Linked DNA regions of Anolis sagrei. The protein of the gene in region 2 purifies or fractionates together with the protein of the main gene of each other region. This does not show direct contact. Links are inferred from orthologs where the notes say so. Each region holds a gene or a part of one and is shown on either strand. Other genes may lie near its edges.

The links.
Region 1: the proteins of ZMYND8 (region 2) and MTA1 purify together in Homo sapiens (affinity purification with mass spectrometry; 3 studies listed by BioGRID and IntAct, with this or other methods). This does not show direct contact. The link is inferred for Anolis sagrei from reciprocal best matches to the Homo sapiens genes ZMYND8 and MTA1.

What each region holds. Positions count from the first base shown.
Region 1 is NC_090024.1:132,906,141-132,913,913, reverse strand, and holds the start of MTA1 (metastasis-associated protein MTA1), read left to right. Parts: upstream 1-4,737; 5' UTR 4,738-4,931; coding exon 4,932-4,959; intron 4,960-7,773. UniProt on the Homo sapiens protein: Transcriptional coregulator which can act as both a transcriptional corepressor and coactivator. Acts as a component of the histone deacetylase NuRD complex which participates in the remodeling of chromatin.
Region 2 is NC_090024.1:219,448,419-219,455,540, forward strand, and holds the start of ZMYND8 (MYND-type zinc finger-containing chromatin reader ZMYND8), read right to left. Parts: upstream 3,064-7,122; 5' UTR 2,825-3,063; coding exon of another isoform or gene 2,811-2,824; intron 2,589-2,810; 5' UTR 2,492-2,588; coding exon 2,400-2,491; intron 1,932-2,399; exon of another isoform or gene 1,732-1,931; coding exon of another isoform or gene 1,721-1,731; intron 1-1,720. UniProt on the Homo sapiens protein: Chromatin reader that recognizes dual histone modifications such as histone H3.1 dimethylated at 'Lys-36' and histone H4 acetylated at 'Lys-16' (H3.1K36me2-H4K16ac) and histone H3 methylated at 'Lys-4' and histone H4 acetylated at 'Lys-14' (H3K4me1-H3K14ac).

The sequences.
Region 1 (7,773 bases), about 87 Mb from region 2:
TCAGTGGCATGGAATGCTTTTACTAGGCTTGACTGATGTATCAACAAAATCCTACTTTGGATAGAAAAGACTTAGCTATATACTGTTAGCTTGCTTCCTGAATTGCTGCAATAACTTGTATGCAGTCTACCTCTCAAGATGGTCCCAAAACTTCACTTTGTGCACAATGGAGTAACATGATAGTTCATAAGGATTTATGTTTCTGACCACAACACCTCAGTTAGCAGTTCCTAGACCTTATGTGAACTGTTGGTCATAGGATGAGCAAAGTATAGTGGAGAAAACAGGGCTGTGAACTCCAAATATTGCTGAATTGAAACTCAGTTAGCAATTCCTAGATCTTATGTGAACTGTTGGTCATAGGATGGGCAAAGTATAGTGGAGAAAACAGGGCTGTGAACTCCAAATATTGCTGAATTGAAACTCAGTTAGCAATTCCTAGATCTTATGTGAACTGTTGGTCATAGGATGGGCAAAGTATAGTGGAGAAAACAGGGCTGTGAACTCCAAATATTGCTGAATTGCAACTCCCAGCATTCCTTAATAATAATAATAATATACTTTATTTATATTCGCTCTATCTCCCTGAGGGGAGCAGATTACAGAATACATATATGTCGTTATACAATTAACAAAGTCAGACAATACATAGATAGAGGCAAGGCTTCCCTCTTTTTCATTTCTGGCATCTGGAGGCTGTGCTTGACTTCAGTTATGGGGAGGTGCTGTTGTTCCATTTTTCCATGCCGAAGAGCCTGTTGTCCGTCAACACCTTTCTGAAAGAATTGCTGGCATGTCTTCATGGGCACCTTTAACCTCCCCGCCAAAGCGGTTCCTATTGATCTACTCACATTATTGTTTTTGAGCAGAAGCTAGGACTGATGGCGGGAACTCACCCTGACTCGCAAATTGAACTGCCATCCTTCTGGTCAGCAAGATTTTCTGCAGCTGACAGTTTAACCCGCTACTTGCTGGCTGGGATGCTAGGATTTGGTAATTTAGCAACAGTGAAGTTCAATAGTACACTTGCCCAAACTTATTATTAAATAATAATTTTTAGGATCCACAATAGTATAATGGGTGGCTGCCAGAGAAAGAACTTTCTTTCTGGTGGTTCTCTTCCCATGGAATGCTCTCATGAGAAAAATTCACCAGACTTTCTCCTTGGTAGTATTTAGATGCCAAAAACATTTTAAGATTGGGCCAGATATATATAAAAATGTAAATAAATAGGTAGACATTTGGACAGAACTATAAACAGCAGACATTTGTTTTATTACAAGCAGCCCACAGGTTATTCCAGAACAGTCCGGCATGCCAAAATCCTTCACCAGCTGGTTCAAGCCAAAAAATAAACAACTCCTCTTTTGTCCATGTTGGACTGATTCTCTGAAGTGAAGCAATACCATTATGGAAAGATGGGCTGCAATTCTTAGTTGAGGACTCCACAGACACCGCTGGAGGTTCTAGAGTTCTTCCTTTCCCAATGCTTTACTGGTGTGATCACATTTTCCATAATAAGTTCCAAAAGTCTGGTGTAGCTCCAGGATCATCTGCACTTTCCTAGAGTTTACTGTAGGTCACCACAGAAGCCGTGCCTGCAATGCATTGGCTTAGCCTTGTGCCACTGTGATTTTATGTACGTAAATTCTTGTAGCATTCAGCCTAAGGAATGGGTCTGTTATGTCTAGCTAGAGACAGGTACTGAAATGAAAATCCCATGTTTTCTGTTTTGCCTATGTAGATATTTTTATCTGAAAAGTAATTTGTTCAGTAGCAAGTGTCTCATGCCACTTTATACACAAATAGAGCTACATTTCCATACATTGGAGTTGCCTGTATGGAGTATCTGTTCATTGGAAGATAGACATAGGAATATGGTGTGTGTTTGTGTGTAAAGAGTGGGACCAAATGGTAATAAAATGTAAGATTTCTGACTCAGTGATGAATGAAAGTCAAAGGGATGAGATTAATCCCTCACATCAGATGGATGAATTAGTCCCACCCTCATGGTCCCCATGAGCAGGATGGCTCTCTTTCACAGCTGTAGTAAATGCTACAGCAGAAGAGTGGCAGTTGTGGTTCCCTGAAGTAACTTCATTAGTATCTTAGTGTGAGGCTCCTGCCTACTCCGGATTTCGTTTTCAAGTGGTCCCCACAGAGCAAGTTGTCATTGCATCACTCAGAAGGGCCCAACAAGGAAAATCCCTTAGATAGCTGTAAACTAGGCTTCACATCAAGGCATCCAGTTGTTGGGCAAGTAGTGGCAATAATGGAGGGGGAATGGATGGGAGGAAATTTCCCACCTTATTCAGTATTATGCCATCGCTTGAAGTATAAATATACATAAAACAAGCATGATGATATTGTTTATATTAAAGTCCTTGTCAAAAACTACCTCTCCCATTTCAAGGCCATTTGGACCCCACTGATTGAACAGTATAAAAAGAATGGATTTAGTATCGAAGGTCCCTTCTATGCTGGCCTATATCCCAGGATGTGATCCCAGATTATCTGGCAGTGGAGATGCATATAATTGAGTTCAAAGCAGATAATCTGGGATCAGATCCTGGGATATAGGGTGGTGTAGAAAGAACCTTTGCTGCACTTTGTTTCCAAATCGCTTACTCAGAACAGTGGCTCCGAAGTTTTAAGCAAGAACAAGAAGGAAAACATGGCAAAATAACTAATTTGTAAAGTTCCTTAAAAAGAGAAACAGTTGAGGCAGGATATCTTGCCTCTTGAAGGAAATAACTGGCAGTTTCAGCCTGTACATCCTTCAGGGTACAACTTGGGAGGTTTGTCAAGAGTGAACTTGCTAGACAATAGAACTTTGCTCAAATTGTCAAATGAAGGGATATCTATTTCTAATCAGTCCATCTTTTTCATTGTATTTTTTTTAAAGACTGTAAATGTATATAGCTTTTTTTTGGAATAAACTGCAATGTAGACTACTTTATTAAATATTTTATTATATTAATGCACCACTAATAAAACTGAATTGGAAACACACCTGTTCTAAGTCTTGTTTTGGAATGAGTTATTTCACTTTCTGCTTCCTGTTCTTACCAAGCAATATTTAGGTGTCAATTAAAAGCTTTGGGATGGATGGCATATGTTCTGTATCAGAAACTATAGCTGATGTGGTCTATTCAATGTAATTTTCTGAATCAGCATCCCAAACCGAATCTAAAATTGACAAAAACTGACTCATAATGCCTACCTGCGTGACTGCATCTCTGTATACGAACCCACACGATCCCTTCGATCATCCGGAGAGGCCCTGCTCTCGATCCCACCAACATCGCAGGCGCGATTGGTGGGGACGAGAGAGAGGACCTTATCGGTGGTGGCCCCTCGACTCTGGAACTCACTCCCTAAAGACATCAGACAGGCCTAACTGGCAGTCTTCAGGAGGAGCTTGAAGACATGGCTGTTCCAGTGTGCCTTCCGGGAATAATGATCCCATAGCACTTTGTCCTCCAAAGCACCTTACATTACTTTAGGTCTGCTCGTATGCCCTTCCGCAAACACCACTATCACCTTTTCGTCCATGTCCCAGCATTATTTCTAATTTTAACTCTACATTTGGCCTTCCCACTGTTTTTAATTGTGTGTTGTCTTATTGATAATGTTGTATATTTTATTGTCTATGTTTTTATTTTAATTGCTTGTATTGTTGTTACTATTGCTTGTATTGTTGTGTTTGGGCTCGGCCTCATGTAAGCCACACCGAGTCCCTTGGGGAGATGGTAGCGGGGTACAAATAAAGTGTTATTATTATTATTATTATTATTATCCTTTTGGTACTAATGTTGGGAGAGTGGTCTCTGGTCAAAGTGGTCCCTGGTCAAAAAAAGCTTGGGAACTATTGTTATAAATGGAGATGAAATTGAGTAAGTGACTGAATATGTATATCTTGGACAACAAGTTGTTGTTGTTGTTCATTCGTTCAGTCGTCTCCGACTCTTCGTGACCTCATGGACCAGCCCACGCCAGAGCTCCCTGTTGGCCGTTACCACCCCCAGCTCCTTCAAGGTCAGTCCAGTCATTTCAAGGATGCCATCCATCCATCTTGCCCTTGGTCGGCCCCTCTTCCTTTTTCCTTCCACTTTCCCCAGCATAATTGTCTTCTCTAGGCTTTCCTGTCTCCTCATGATGTGGCCAAAGTACTTCAACTTTGTCTCTAGTATCTTTCCCTCCAGTGAGCAGTCGGGCTTTATTTCCTGGAGGATGGACTGGTTGGATCTTCTCGCGGTCCAAGGCACTCTCAGCACTTTCACAACAAGTACAGCCCTATAATTTGGCAAATGGTGAATAGGCAAGACAACCCAAGGTTCCTTGGGCGGCTTTTAATCTAAACTGGACAGTGCTAACATTTAATAATCTGCCAATGAAGGTCTGAGCAGATATACTCAACACTACAGTTCTACCGGCAATATTATATGCATCTGAAACATGAACAACAAAATTAGAGGAGGAAAACTGGTGGTGACTTAGAGCAATGGGAAGGGTGTGGGGTGACAATAAAAGAGCAAGTCAGCAACAAAGAGCTGGCTACTAGTATTAAAAATATTCCAAAGGCTTGTCCAAAGAGCCAGTTCTTCGTTGGCGGCCTCCCTTCCTCCTATTTGCAAAAGGCGCCCCACCACGCGCTTCCCGCCCTTGCTCCTTCGCCCCTCCCCTTCCAGAGCCGGAGTGCGCGCGCAGCCTGCTGGGTCTCGCGCAGCCCGGGGGCGGAGCCACGTCCGCGAGGGCAGGGGCCGAGGCTGAGGCGGCGGCGGACTGGAGGCGCCGCGCCGTTCAGGCTGCCTTGCCCTGCCCCTCCCTCCCTCCCTCTCTCCCGCATCCTCCCTCTCTGAGGGGCCGAGACAGTAGTCCTCCCCGCCGGGCCTTCCCTCCTTCCTTTCTTCCTTCCCTCCTTCTCCGGCATGGCTGCCAATATGTACCGCGTCGGAGGTAAGCTCTCCCTTCGCTCGGCATCCCTGAGGAGACTGGGCCGGGCCTGCTCCGTGAGGCATTGTCTCTGAAGCAGCGAGAAGGCGGGCTGAGGAGTGAGTGGAGCCGCCTCTGGGAAGCAGCTCGAGGCCTCCCCTCCCTCCCTCCCTCCCACCGGCCGGATGCTCCAGGAGTGAGGCTGCGCGGGGGTTCAGCCAAGACCAGGCGCCCTCCAGCTGTGGGGGTCTCCAACTCCCCGCTTGTTCGGTGGGAGTTGTAGGCCCGCGCAGTTGGAGGAGGCCTGGGCTGGAGCTTCCCAGAGGATGCCCGGCGCCTGTCACGTTTGCAGCCCTCTGTGGCCCACGCAGGCCGGTCCCTGAGCCCTTCTGTCAAAGCAAGAGGGCTGATGCCGACTGTGGAGCGCGGTCCCTTTTGTTGTTGCCAACTCTTCTTCCTCAGTAGCCGGGAAAGAGTGGCCCAAGCCCCATCTCCACTGCCTGTTTGGAACTGTATTGTTACACGACAGTGTAGGTCAGGCATGGGCAAACTTGGGACCTCCGGGTGATTTGGACTTCAATTCCCACAATTCCTAACAGCCAGAAGAAGAAGAACTTTATTTTTCTACCCTGACTCCCAGGCATGTAGCCGGGGGGGGGGGGGGGGGCTTGAAGGGCTTCAGCCCCCTCCCCCCCCCCCCCCGAAATGCTCATGGTGGTTCACGAAAAGGCCTTACTGGTGCATTATTTAAACTGTTATGTTTATTCATATCATGATCTGATCACCATACATGCATGGGGGTATTGGGGTAATGATACAAAAGGTTTGCTAGCGTAGGCCCTCTTTCACTCAGACTCAGCCCCCCCCCCCCCAAATCAAAATCCTGGCTACGGGCCTGCCACCTCCTTTCTTACTTAGGTGATCCCTCGTTTTCCGAGGAGGATTGTCTCCCAATATTCTTGTGGGTCCGTATGTGGCTGTGGAGCTCTATTCTTGCTCTGCAACTTCTTTCGCAGTGAGGGCATTGGTTTCCAGGTGGAAGGGGGTCTTGGTCGGGGTTGGCTTGACGTGCCTTCCTCTTGGCACGCTTCTCCCTTTCACCCTCCATTCGTGCCTCTTCAAATTCTGCAGCATTGCTGGTCACAGCTGACCTCCAGCTGGAGTGGTCAAGGGCCAGGGCTTCCCAGTTCTCAGTGTCTATGCCAGAGTTTTTAAGGTTGGCTTTGAGCCTGTAGGACTGAAGACCGACAGGTCGCAAGTTCAAATCCGGGGCAGGCGGATGAGCTCCCTTCTAACAGCTCCAGCTCTTCATGCAAGGACATGAGAGAAGCCTCCCACAAGGATGATAAAAACATCAAATCATCCAGGCGTCCCCTGGGCAACATCCTTGCAGACGGCCAATTCTCTCACACCAGAAGCAACTTGCAGTTTCTCAAGTCGCTCCTGACACAACAAAAAAGAGAGAGAGAGAGAGAGAGAGAAGCCTCCCACAAGGATGATAAAAACATCAAATCATCCGGCCACCCCCTGAGCAACATCCTTGCAGACGGCCAATTCTCTCACACCAGAAGCAACTTGCAGTTTCTCAAGTTGCTCCTGACACGACAAAAAATAATGAGAGAAGCCTCCCACAAGGATGATAAAACATCAAAAATCATCCAGGCGTCCCCTGGGCAACATCCTTACAGACGGCCAATTCTCTCACACCAGAAGCAACTTGCAGTTTCTCAAGTCGCTCCTGACACGACAAAAAAAAAAAAAACTCCCTGAAGGGACTCGGGGCGGCTTACATGGGGCCCAAGCCCAGGCAGAGTACAATTAAAATAAAGCAATAACAATTAAAACCCCAGCAACGTGTCCCAGAAGCACTTTACTAGAGACTTAAGATTGTTCGCACATTGCACTTACCGAAAAATCCTTATATTTCAACTGTCATACTCAGCACTTTTAATCTGTACCCATCTACACTTGGCCCGGCCTTAGTTTTATTGTGCTACGGTGTAATGTTTTTACTGTTTACTGTTATTGCTTAATGTTTTCATTTGTTTTATGGTTTATGTGTATTGTTGTATTGTTGTTTTATTGAGGCCTTGGCCTTTGTAAGCCACATCGAGTCCTTCGGGAGATGCTAGCGGGGTACAAATAAAGTTAATAATAATAATAATAATAATAATAATAATAATAAAACAGCATAAAACAACATAACAAAAATAGCTAGCAACAACAATAACAGCAGACTAATTTTGGGGAGAGGAAAACCACTACGTGAACTAGATAAAGGATAAAGTGGTTTAGTAAGGTAGATGACAATGTATGAAGGCATAGGAAAAATCATGGAAACAGAGCAAATTAACAGTATCAGTTAATATAATATAGGACATCAAATTGAATGACAGTTCAAGTCATAATAAAGTGGGAGTTGAAGTCCAAAACACCTGGAGGGCCCAAGTTTGCCCTAGTGTAGATGGAGCCTCAGTATTTATCACTGTGCTTTGTCTGGAGTGCCATATTTTACATACAGGTGGGGGGGGGGAGTATTTAGTCAGATACCAATTGTACAAGTTCTCCCACTTAAAAAGATGAGAGAGGCCTGTAATTGACATCATCAACTATGAGAGACAGCATGAGAAAACATCCAGAAAATCACACTGTCTGATTTTTGACGAATGTATTTGCAAATTGTGGTGGAAAATAAGTATTTGGTCCATAACAAAAGTTCATCTCAATACTTTGTTATATATCCTTTATTGGCAATGACAGAGGTCAGATGTTTTCTGGAAGTCCTCATAAGTTTGGCGCATACTGTTGTTGGTATGTTAGCCCATTCCTCCATGCAGA
Region 2 (7,122 bases):
AAAAGAGGAATTAAGCTCTCAATTTTAATTTTAGCATAACAGTTTTTTGGTGAGAACTACAGCTCAGTTATGTGGTTCCTGATAAAACAAGTCACCATCAAGACCTGCAGCATTCATCACCAAAATCTGTTGTGTCTGGTCAGTAAAAGCACCTCCACCTACCCAGCCTCTGCTGTTTAAGACAATGCATATCACCTGCTTGAAAAACGGGGGGGGGGGGGGGAGAGAGCACCCTGTTATCTGTGTGCGTGCCATTCATGAATGTGACAGATTAATACACTGTCAAAGAATTGGGAATTATGTGGAATTCTCAGATTGGCTGAATTTGCTTTACTTAGATGAACAAAGATGGGAGAAATTTCCAGAAGGCCTTTCTTCGCCTGGCTACAGTATTTGTCAATCTTTAACTTCTCCTCTCTTTCTATTGGCTCCAGCTCTGAGGAGAGCAGCATGATTGGGCTGATCCTGGGAACAACACGGCTGTCTCTCCTCGCTTCAGACATCTTGCTGCAATGCAGACATTTATATTTTGTGAACTATGAAAGAATTTGCATTTGAACAATTTAAAAGGGTGAACTTCAGGGGACTTGTGGTGCTGTGTTTTATTATGTGCACAAGAGCTGCCCATGCAAGCATGCTTTCCCCTGTCAGCAATATCTCTGGAGGCACAGATTTGAGACACATCCCTCTTCAGCTAAACCTAAGGGAGCCATTTTAATTCAGGCATTCTGAGCACTGCTCGTTTTTCCTGCTTCTTCATAAGATAATATTGGGTAATGTTCCGATTCCACGCCCATCTGCTAATGCACAATGCCCTGCTACAAGACAAAAATATGCCTTTGACAGTAGAAGAACTTAAACTTTTTGCTCAGCAATCTCTTGCTATCACTTCTACAAGCAAAGAATGTATAAAATAGCAGAGAAACCTAACACTGAACTTCAGCACTTTTAGGAGTGGGGAGGAGGGCAAGAGAGAATCCTTTTGAATGAGGCATTTGAGTAATACACATACTTGGGGGTTTTCACTTTAAATACAGGCAATAGTTTTATCAATTGCATGGGATCCCTGTATAAATGGTAACAAGGCATCATTTCGCAAAATGCATTTGTATTGTATAACAAGCAGGGCTGTGTACAGACAACTCACAGCAGAGCCTCTGTTATGCTGTGAGAAAATGTCCACTGAAAAAGCTGCTTGTGGAGACATGCTTACAAATGTCTCAGCCCCAGATTATTTTTAAAAAGCACAAGTTACTCAAATGTGGCTCTAAAACCAAATTTCATGCTGGATGATATATCACAGGAGAACAAAAGCAGAGGGGTAACTGTGGAATAGCCCTGTAACAATGTGGCAAGATTAGTTTGCAGAGAACTAGCACATTCATCACACTTCAAAAGCCTGGGGAAAGTCTGAATTGAGCTTTAACCTGAAAAATGCATTAATTAGAAAGATCTAGGAACAAAGAGTAAGCAGAATTTCATTTTCAATGGAAAACAGGAAGTACACAATGTGGCAGAAGACTCTGAAAAAACTGAAAAATCACACTGGCACACAGTTTGTATAAAGGCAAATACTGAACAAACATCAACAAAATTAGTTTTACTTCACTAAGCTATCCACAGTTTTACTTAACTGGCTGGATTAAGTTTGTCCTGTTAAAAGCAAGAAAGATTAAAAATAGTGCAAAATGATCAGAGAATAGCAGACAAGTTTACTTACCAAGTGTTCATGCAACCATCTCATTTTTCCAGTAAATAGGATACAACAAGCTGGCAGATTTGGGATTTGACCAAAAGGAATTTTTTGAAATAATTACGTAGCACCATGCCAAAAATCAGAAGAGCCCGAAAGAAAAGGGGGAAAAAATGAACATGTAATACTCCCATGAACCACACATGATTTTATATCACTCCACCTCAGAGAACTGTGCCTGATATATTGCAAAAGAAAAAAGCACATTTAAGAAGTCCATTAGTTTTACTTGTACTACAGAAAAGGACATAGATAACAGCTCAAAAAACATGTTGTCTTTAAATAGGCTGGCACTGAAATATGCATAGCTATGCCTGATGGCTTCAGACCTAGACCTTAACTGTTTCTACAATCTACAATAAGAAAAGTCCTTTTTAAAGAGACAGCTGGTAAGCAAGAGATTGCCCTCCAGAAAATATACACACACTGCATCTAAGGCTCCTGTAAGGAAAAAGTAAAATATCAAATTTAAGTTAAGGTAAAGCTGCACAAAAACATGATGCAATAGCACTCCACCACTTAGGCCCAGTATCTGCAATCTCCCATTAGCACTATTTCTTGTGGTCCAGGCAGCTAAAAATCCTATGCTTTTTCAAGGATCACTTTGCCTTGCCCTTCTTTGCCCTGTTTGAAAAGGTAAACTTGCCTGTTCTGCTGTCTGCCATGATCCCTGCTTGTCTCCCTGTAGGGCAGTTCAGTGCATCTGCTCCCTAGCTTCCATTTTCTCTCCAGCAGCATGTGACACAACAGACAATAGTGCAGGCAAACTGCTCAGACACAGAGAGCTGCTTTGGAAGAGCAGGATCTTGAGAAACACTCACAGCCCACTAGCCTCCTGTGAAGAAGTATGTATGCAAACGTTTTTGCCACTCTGTACATTTAAAACTATGGCTAATGGCTACTAAACCATGTGACCCAAGAAAGCAAATTTAAACATTTTCAACTTAATAAAGTGCTTTGGGGGCCAGTTTTGCGAACCAGATCACAGAGAATCACACTGTTAAGCCACAACTCATAGGTTTCAGAGGAAAAAAAAATGTAAAAAAGTCAAGCTTACCTCTGTGGATGCATTGTTAACACAGTGTTATGTCAATACTTATAAAACATGGAGGACAGGCTCTCAGTACTCAGACAGAAAGGGCTTGGCACTTCAGCTTGATGATCTGTCTTCCTAATAAAAGCTAATCCTGGATTGGCTACTTTGGAAAATCTGAATGTAAAGCTTCAGGGGATTGGCTGAAACACTTCCTGAGCGATTATCTTTGTGCAGCTCTGGCAAGCAGGAGCCATCCTGTGCACAGAGAAGACAGGCTAAACTAGGCCCGTTTCAGCAAAAGAAACTTAAAACGTGAGCCACACACAAGCAAATGACTCTCAACGAGTAGATTTTTCAGCAGAATAGAGCAAGCACCAAGTGCCAGTCCAAAGGAAACGCTTCTCCAACGACATCTGTTGGTTCTGTTTAAGTTTTGAAAAAACCTGCAGGTTTCCATAGGTCACCAAAGCTGCTTTGCCTTCGGGGAGAGCAACAATTTTCTTTTTAAAAACTCCCCTAAAAGCCACGCTGGAAGCAAAAATTTTTGCAGTCACACACCCACAAACAACACAGCATAAGGCATGCAGTGAAACACACAGCAGACGACAAGGCCAAGAGCTGAAGTTCATCTGTTATATAACAGCTACACAGCTCAAAAAGCAAACATAACTCTTCCACACATACTAATAATGTTTAAGGGAGATTTAAGAATTCACACTATGGATTTTTACTAACACAGACAATGCAGGTTACAATCTAACGTAGGACAATGGCTTCCTGACCACTTACAATACCCATTTCCTAATTAAATATGTAGGATGCAGAAAATAGCTGTTTTTCAGTAATGTGTGAGGTGCTCTTTTCACAAACAGCCCCTTCTCTCATCCCTAAGGCCTTCAAAAGTTGTCAGTTAAACAAAAATCTGACTTTCCTATTAGTCTGCTGCAGCTGCAGCTTCCTGCCCATTAACCCTATCACATTCGGCTTTCTTTATTTTTTTTTAAGATGCAGGCCTTGCAAAGGGTTGAATTTCAGTGTGTGGAAAAATACCAGAGCTGCTTTCACAACAGGGAGGAACAATGCAAGTGCTTTCTGAATTTAGCACGTTTCATGTAAAATCCTTAAACAAAAATTTCGTTTGAAAAGACAGGATTTTTAAAAAGGAAATGTCATTTTAGTGCAAGAGCATAATTTGTCAAACAACCAGTTTGATTTAGGGCCAGCTCTTAAAGCACAGTATTCCAAGAACAAAATGAGCTTTCATTCTCCTGTAAAAAAAAACAGCCTGTGTTGCAGTTTTGTTACCAAGAGACGTTGCTGTGCTGTGGGAAGCAAAATAGTTCTAGATGAAACATTTCAAAGAACAGGTTTTCACATATGCCCTCAAATAATGCTTATATTTAAATTAATTATCTGGAGTCGCAAAAGAGACAAGTAAGGAGGAAATCAACTTAATCCGCAAATTATTTTGTAGATAAATGCATATCTGAACAGATAGTGAAACATTAACAAAACTCGACCAGCAATCTTTTAAATGCACAAATTGACAATTTAAAAAATGGTTAACAAGAGGCAGATAGTAAGAAAATCATGCTTTGTATCAAAATCAGAATGAAACAAGCAATTATCCAGAAGTATATACTGGAAATTCACATAAACAAGGAAGCTATAGATAATGGCACATTGTGCCTTGAAAGCAGTAAGGCCAACAACCAAATCAACTCTATTTTTAACTGGCCTTCTAGAACAGATTGGTTTAATAATCACATCAAATGAAAGCTAGTTAAAATATTTTTCCAAAAATCTCAGCAAGTGATATAATCAAAATTAGTACACACAGACACAAACCTTTTCAATGTGGATTTCAATTCAGTCACACATTTATAATCCAATGCACAGAAATAATCCTAGACTACTGTGCTTCATGCTGTGGTTACATTTTCTTGAGATAACAATCATTTTCACACTTCACAAGGAAACTCTCAGAAGAATCCCTATGTTCCATGCCAAAGCTGTTTTTCAGGCTGTATCAGTGAAGAAGTGTAGTGCTCAATTCACATATAAATTGTACAGCTTCTCTGAGAGGGAAGCATTTTTTTCCTTTCAAATCCTACCCACATTTTCATGGACAGGCAGCAATAAAACTCCAAATGTATCTGCATAGTGTTTTTTCATCCTGCTTTTTTAGAATAATCGAGAAACTAACCTCTAAAAAAAGGGGGGGGGGGTGCATCAGCCACTTGAAGCAGCAAAAGTAATCTGAAAATGGATGGAAAATCCATGGAGTCATATACAAATGTCACAGATAAACAAATGTTACATTCAAACCTTTCTGTGTAGGTAGGTATAAGAGTGATGTTGTTTATCTGTGTCTATAGAACCCTATGCTGCAATATCAGCTACAAAGAAAAGAAACACTAGCCAAGTGGTATAGTATATTAATGAGAGATTATGCAGAAGCAATGGCTACTGAATAGTAAAAAAAAAAGACTATGCATTTAACTTGAATTCTTAAGATCACCGGAAACAAAAGATTTACCAGATCTATCTATAGTCTAATAGGAGATGACACACAGCTAGAAACATGATAGTTGTTAATACACTATTCTAACTAGAAACTGTTTAGTAAAAGCTATAGGTACATGGCTACTCAATGCTTTTTTAATTTCTGAAAGAGTCAGTGTTCCATTTGCCCCACATAAAGACCAGAGCATTTTATTCTATTCCAGCTAATCTTCAGGTTCCATACTTAAAATCACACAAATTAAAAACACCTAGTCTTACCACAAGCGCTGAAACACTGGAGCAAATCTGACTTTTCTATCAGTCATAATAGTATGACTGTACGTACTACAAAATGGTTGCTGAAACCTAATTCATTTGATGCAATTTTCAGTTTGTTGACTCTGTAGGAAGAAGCCTTTCTCCAAGGAGTCTTGGATAGCTCACATGACAATATCACGTATTTTCCTCGCAATAACATATTGTGTATGTTTGACTGGAAAGATGATAACTAGCCATTCTCTAGTTATCTCTATGATCCACCATTACTTGCCACCTCACACAGAAATGCATCAGCTTTCTCTTTTCCCTGGACTATTGGAAATACAAGAAAAGGTTACAGCTTAGTATGTGAAGAAAGCTTCACCTCCCTCCCTCCCCCCCCCCCCCCGCAAGAAAATGAGTATGCAAGCCAGCACTGAGACACTTGCGTACACATACAAATCATGACCAACCCCTTTCCATAAACACACAAAGCTGTTTCACATTTAAGCAACCACAACACTGTAAAATACATACAAGAATTCATCTTATCAAGGCTGAGAGCATAGCAGCATTCAAGGCTGAAACACAGACTGAAGGGAATTGTCTACACACAGGCTACTCTAAAAGAAGTAAAATGGTAGGCAGTGGGACAATGAGAGCAAAAGCAGCAAAACACACAAAGCAAACGATGTATCATAGCAAAGGAAGCAGAGAGTAAAGGAAAGAGGGAGTGAAGAGAACTGTTTTTTTAATTGTACTGATTGAGTCTCCCTTATAGGGAAACTTTTGGCTGCCAAACACCCACTTCCATCTTTGGGGAAGAGGGTTTAGTCCACATGTCAAGTGCCTACTGATTTTTCCTCAGGGAGCCCACACAAAGGAAATAAACGATTGGCACCCAGGACACTTAGTCTTCCAACCTGGCCAATGAAAGCACACTGAGAGGCGGGTGCCCTGGAAATGGTTGAGAAGGCGAACATGGAGCCACCCTATTGGCTGTTGCCTGAATCTAGCGCTGAACCCAACTGCTTTGCTAGAAGAGCTGAAACTGTGCTTGACAGTTAGGGAAATATATCTGGGATTTTCTTTTTTGCTGGGAGCTTGTGTAAGTGGACTCCCCACTTCTTCTTTTCTTTCCCCCATTGAGTTTTTTGCAGTGATGGGATGGGGCAGGGGCTTACTGAGGCAGGGTTGGATGGATGGACACTGGACACAGTGACTAACCTCCTCCCTCCTATCCCTCATTCACAATGAATATGCCAATATAGGTTTACCAAAATGTGTGTGTGTGGGGGGGGGGGGGGTCCTGAAACCCAAAAAACTTTGTGTCCCAAACATTTCAAATGCGGGGGGGGACTCAACTTGTATAATAGTGCAAGATACCTCTGAGGTAATGAAATCATTGACTGGAAATATGACACTAATCTTCCATTTTAGTGTGCAGATGAGTCACCAATGCATCACACTTAAAGGAAGAGAGAGAAAATCCAAAAGAAAATGTTTCTGAAGTATGCTGATAAGGCATAACGAAAGTTTCAATATAATTAAGCAAACAAATATATAGAAC